Callithrix jacchus: one gene and its partner. The protein of the gene in region 2 purifies or fractionates together with the protein of the main gene of each other region. This does not show direct contact. Links are inferred from orthologs where the notes say so. Each region holds a gene or a part of one and is shown on either strand. Other genes may lie near its edges.

Region 1 (3,585 bases), on a different chromosome or scaffold from region 2:
TCCTTCCCAGCCCCATGAATTCAAGTATGAATCCCAGCAAGCAGCCTGGGCCCAGTGGTTCATGCCTGTAATCCCAGCACTTTGAGAGGCTGCAGGTGGATCAAGAGGTCAAGAGACTGAGACCATCCTGGCCAACATGGTGAAACCCTGTCTCTACTAAAAACACAAAAATTAGCTGGGCGTGGTGGCACATGCCTGTAGTCCCAGCTACTTAGGAGGCTGAGGCAGGAGAATCGCTTGAACCAGGGAGGCAGAGGTTGCAGTGAGCCAAGATCATGCCACTGTACTCCAGCCTGGCAACAGAGCAAGACTCTGTCTCAAAAAAAAAAGGCCTACAAATGGAATATCCTATAGTATTCTAGTTCAGAAATCCAAAATGGGTCTCCCTAGGCTGGAATCCTGGTGTTGGCAGGGCTGAGTTCCTTCTGCAGGTTCCAGGGGAGAGTCCACTTCTCTGCTCTTTCCAGCTTCCAGAGGCACCCCTGTTCCTTGGCTTGTGGCCCCTCCTCCATTTCCACACCGAGCAGGAGCTGCCAAGTCCCTCTGATGTCACTCTGAGCCCCCAGGATGGCCTAGGAGCCCCTCCACACTGTGGGCCAGCTGACCTGTGACCTCAATCACCCAGCCAGGGAAGGTGCCGTGTTCACAGGCTCTGGGGATAAGGCATGGACCTCTCTGGGGACCATGATTCTGCCTCCCACCCTATAACACAAGGGTACGACCCACTCTGCACAAACCCTCACCTCGTTATCCAGCTCCAAGCCAACCAGTGTCTCCTGCATCTTCTCCTGGCGTCCCAGCTTCCTCTGTAGCCCTTCCACCTCCTCCTGGAGCAGCCCATTGGTCTCTCTCATCTCCCTGGCAGTGCCACAAAGAGTTGCTCAAATAGCCACACACCCTGGGGATGAAGCCAAGAGCCCAGGAGCCCTGCCCCTACAGGGTCTGCAACACAGGCTCCTGCACACAAACCCAGACTCACTACAGGCTACTCCATCCCCCATGCCCCCTCACCGCAGGCGTGCACTCTCCTCCCGCAGCTGTTTCAGCTCCCGTTCCAGCCTAGGGAGTCGCACCAGCTCAGACTTCATGTTCTTCACAATAGCAGCATCCTGCTCTTGTAGGGACAGCTTCTGCTCCAGATCCTGATGGAGGCCAGGGACAGAGAAGAAGGGAAAAATGAACTATGAAGAGACCTGGAGAAAATCACACGCACACGACTAAGAGAAAGAAGCTGGTCTGCAATGGCTACAGGAGCTAGGATCCAACCACGGACATTCTGGGAAAGGGGGAACTATAGAGACAGCAAAAGTTTGGGAATTGTCAGCGACTCAAAAGGAGAGAGTCAGGGATTAACTGGGGGAGCACAAAGGATTTTTAGGCAGTAAAACCCTTCTGTGTGACACTCTAACAGTGAATATAGGACATTTTACATTTGCCCAAACCATACACTGTCCCACTCTAGGAGAGACACTTGAGTGACCTGTGGACTCTCCCTGACACTGATGCATCAAGACAGGTTCATAACCGTCATATGTGCTCCACTCTACCAGGAAAGGCGGTGTGTGCTTTTTTTTGGGGGGGGGGTCGGGGAACAGGGGTGCACAGGAGCTCTACCTTCTGCTCATTTTGCTGTGAACCTAAATCTGCTATAGAAAAAAGCATCCCCTAAAGAGTAAAGTCACTGAGGCCAGGAAGTTCCTCCACTAAACTGCCCCAGGTCCTCAGCAGCCTCCATGGCTCAGGACTCTCCTCTGGGAGGCCTTCCCGGGCTGCACCAGGGCCCTCAAAGCTGCTTCCAATACTGAGCCTCGGCATTCAGTCCAGGGCAGCTCTTCCCAACACCGTCCTCCCAGCCCACTGCACACTGGGAGCTGGCACTCACCACACACCGCTGGGCTACTGTGCACACCACTGTCCTGCCCTCAGGGAGCTATCTAGAAGCAAAAGTCTATCTCAAGTCTGGCCCAAGATGACACTCCATGGTGAAACATCCCATCCTCCTGTGTCAAGCCCACTTCTGCCCCTCTAGTAGCATGTGTGTAACGGCTTACTCTTTCCAATAGTGAGGACAGGCTTTTCCCTATGGTACCCAGTCTCCTTGGGACACAGACAGCTGACATCTGTGAGCAGCAAGTCAGTGAACAGGCAGAGGATGAAACCACAACCAAACCAGATGGTCATTCAACAAACACTAACAGAGTCCATCTCTGTGCGATGTACCAAGTCAAGTGGCAGACACCAGGCCTCACCAGCCAGCAAATCCTGACAGGTGGGCCGAGGGATGCAGACAGGAGGATGAGGGGCCAGGGAACACCACCAGGAGGTGACATGGCAGAGGCTAGGTTGGGGGTGACAGTCAGCTCTGCAGCCAGGAAGAGCTGGTTTGAGGCATGGAGGTGAGGGTACATGGGGGGCCAATAGGGCACAGCTGGAGCACAAGGTCTGAAAGCTGCTCTCCAGGCAACAGGAGGTAGGAGAGGGATCCGGAGTCGGCGTCTCCCTGGCATGCCCTCCACAGGGAAAGGGCACAGCATGAGCTTGAGTAGGTCACCCCGACTGAGACCCAGCTCCAGCTGTGCAACTGTGGGCAGATTTCTTAGCCCCTCTATGCCTGTATCACCTTCTCACACTCTTCAGCACTTGACATCATCATACATTCGGACACTCTCTTCGTGTCTCTGGTCAGTCTCCATCCTCTAGAATGCACACTCCCTGAGGTCAGCAGCATCTGCCCCATTCACCATGGCATCCCTGGTGCCCAGCAAAATGCCCACCACACAGGGCAGCAGCAAATCTCACAGGAGGCCCACAGAGCTCGGCACTGGTGCAGAAAGGCCGACAAGGGCAAGAGAGCCAAGGCCACCACAGGGATGTCCACAAGGCACCTGACACAAGCAACTCACCTTAATCTGCTGCTCTTGATCTGCTCTCGTTTCTTGGCTGGCCTGGAGTTCCTGGATTTTCTGACTGGCTTCCTGCCATTTTCTATTAAAAAAAAATACATCACATACAGAAACAGGCATGTGGCAAGGCCAACAATTCTCTTCAGCCTGAGATCCGCCCCAGCACAGACCCACACACTCTCACTCCCACCCCAAGGTTCAGGACCCCCACCTGCACACACCCCTCCACACACACTCCCACTGCATGGGTACCCTAAGGTCCTGGGTCCCAGCCCCTGCTGGCTGGCTCTGAGGCCTCAGTCTGCTCATCCGCACAGAGTGCATAGTGAGCCCAAGCCACCTGCAAGGTCCTCGACAGCAGCGGCACCCACACTTTCACCTGCCGGCCGCAACCCGCAGCCCTGGTGCAGTTGTGGCAGAGCCCCGCCCAGAAATGACCTCTCCTCTCTACTACGAAACTAGAACTCTCCTAAAACCACATCTGCCGAGGGAAGGGTCAAACCCTTTAGGAGATGCCCATGGTGCTGGGCATCTCCTAAATGCTGGGTAGGAGAAGCCCATGGTGCTGGGCATCTCCTAAATGCTGGGTAGGAGATGCCCCCGGTGCTGGGCATCTTAGGAGGTGCTGACTGCACCTCCACACAAGGCTCTCATGTCTGTACCTTGGCTGAGCCCAGCCCTG
Region 2 (2,282 bases):
GATCTAAGCGTCTTTACACAGATTTCTATTCATTTCCCCATATTCACTCTAGCCTCTGTGGTGCCTATATCACCAATTACTAAACCTTTATGGGGTTCTGCTCTATGAATCAGTTTGGATCCCTTGGGAGTCCCTTCTGTCAGCACTTGGTATTCAGCTCACTTGAACTCTTAACTCCTCATCTGCTTTTTTTTTTTTTTTTTTTTTTTTTTAAGACAGGGTTTCACCATGTTGGTCAGGCTGGTCTTGAACTCCTGACCTCAGGTGATCTGCCCACCTTGGCCTCCAAAGTGTTTGGATTACAGGTGTGAGCTACCATGCCCGGCCTCTTCATCTGCTATCTTCCAAAACTTTGTGTTTGCCTTTGGCCAGTGTTGTATAGTCTCCAGTTCTTTTGCCCTTTGGCGTTCTCTTTCTTGCTCTTTCCTTTCTTTGTTTCTTAATTTCTTTCCTCTCATTTTGTAGTATTTCAGGTGGAAGCACAAATAAGCATGTGTTCAGTTTACTATTTAAGTGGAAGAACAAGTTCAAAGTTATGTTTATTAGACCAAATAATCCTCATTCCTGTTATCACTTGTCATGCCATCAAATCTCTTGTTTAGTTGCTTATATCTGGATGCCCTCCACCTTCAGAACACTGTTTGCTCCTCTAAATGTGGGAGAATTATGGTTTTGTACAAATAATATATTTTCCTTTTCAATATAATGCCCTCTGATAAAACACAGTGTTTTAGCTATGGCAGTTCATTGAGCTAGAACTTTAGTCCTGTAAGTCTATGTACACATCCCAGCAGGGTTCTTTTCAAAGGGCATTAGCTTCTCCTTGTCTTATCCTTCTCTCCCACCATTGTTTGTCCTTACAGACAGAGGAGATGCTGAAGAAGAAACCTCGGGCCACCACTGAGGTGAGCAGCAGGAAATGCCAACAAGCCCTGGCAGAACTGGAGAGTGTCCTCAGCCATCTAGAGGACTTCTTTGCACGGACACTAGTACCACGAGTGCTGATTCTCCTTGGGGGCAATGCCCTAAGCCCCAAGGAGTTCTACGAACTCGACTTGTCTCGGCTGGCCCCCTACAGCGTGGATCAGAGCCTGAGCACAGCAGCTTGTTTGCGCCATCTCTTCAGAGCCATATTCATGGCTGATGCCTTCAGCGAGCTTCAGGCTCCTCCACTCATGGGCACCATCATCATGGCACAGGGACACCGCGACTGTGGAGAAGATTGGTTTCGACCCAAGCTCAACTATCGAGTGCCCAGCCGGGGCCACAAACTGACTGTGACCCTGTCATGTGGCAGACCTTCCATCCGAACCACGGCTTGGGAAGACTACATTTGGTTCCAGGCACCAGTGACACTTAAAGGCTTCCGCGAGTGAATGAGCGCTTCTTAATCCTGAAAACACAATGGCTGAATTATCTTTCTCCATGTGGCACTGAATCACCTATCTAGTTTGGAGCTAGAGTTGCTTCCTGGTGAGAGAGGAAGCAACTCTCCTTTTGGTTGTCTGCCTCCTTCCTCAGATTTCCTGGTGGGCTGATGGCATGTAGCTGTGACTGTAATCATTGCTGAACAACATCTCTTTGAATCAAAGGTTGATCTTCCCAGAGGGTGCTGGGTCAGTGTTTCTGTTAGGGATTGGAAAGCAAAGATGGGTCCATAGACAGACACTCTATGGAGGTGGCCCTTTCTGCTCTTTGCTGTGTTCTTTCTGAATTTTTACCAGGAACATAATGTGGATGTGACTCATGAACTTAAATATAAATAGATTCTTATTATATTTTCCTGAAACTGTTTTGACTTGAAGAAACTTGTCAGGCTTGGCCAGGTGCAGTGGCTCACACCTGTAATCCCAACACTTTGGGAGACTGAGGCGGGTGCATCACGAGGTCAGGAGTTCAAGACCAGCCTGCTAAGATGGTGAAACCCCGTCTCTACTAAAACTACAAAAAAGTTAGATGGGCATGGTGGTGGGTACCTGTAATCCCATGTTCTTCAGCCTAGGTGACGAGTAAGACTTGTCTCAAAAAAAAAAAAAAAAAAAAAAAAGGCTGGGCGTGGTGGCTCATGCCTATAATCCCAGCACTTTGGGAGGCCGAGGTGGCAGATCACAAAGTCAAGAGACGGGACCATGCTGTCCAACACGGTGAAACCCCGTCTCTACTAAAAATACAAAAATTAGCTGGGCATGGTGGTACACGCCTGTAGTCTCAGCTACTTGGGAGGCTGAGTCAGAAGAATTGCTTGAACACAGGAGGTAGAGGTTGCAGTAAGCCGAGATCAT

What was found. Proteins that work in one complex are often made in the same cells at the same time.
Region 1: the proteins of MAD2L1BP (region 2) and MAD1L1 purify together in Homo sapiens (co-immunoprecipitation; 4 studies listed by BioGRID and IntAct, with this or other methods). This does not show direct contact. The link is inferred for Callithrix jacchus from reciprocal best matches to the Homo sapiens genes MAD2L1BP and MAD1L1.

Annotation. Positions count from the first base shown.
Region 1 is NC_133503.1:56,827,764-56,831,348, reverse strand, and holds part of MAD1L1 (mitotic spindle assembly checkpoint protein MAD1), read right to left. Parts: intron 2,986-3,585; coding exon 2,904-2,985; intron 1,143-2,903; coding exon 1,012-1,142; intron 859-1,011; coding exon 744-858; intron 1-743. UniProt on the Homo sapiens protein: Component of the spindle-assembly checkpoint that prevents the onset of anaphase until all chromosomes are properly aligned at the metaphase plate.
Region 2 is NC_133505.1:52,113,210-52,115,491, forward strand, and holds the end of MAD2L1BP (MAD2L1-binding protein), read left to right. Parts: intron 1-863; coding exon 864-1,376; 3' UTR 1,377-1,776; downstream 1,777-2,282. UniProt on the Homo sapiens protein: May function to silence the spindle checkpoint and allow mitosis to proceed through anaphase by binding MAD2L1 after it has become dissociated from the MAD2L1-CDC20 complex.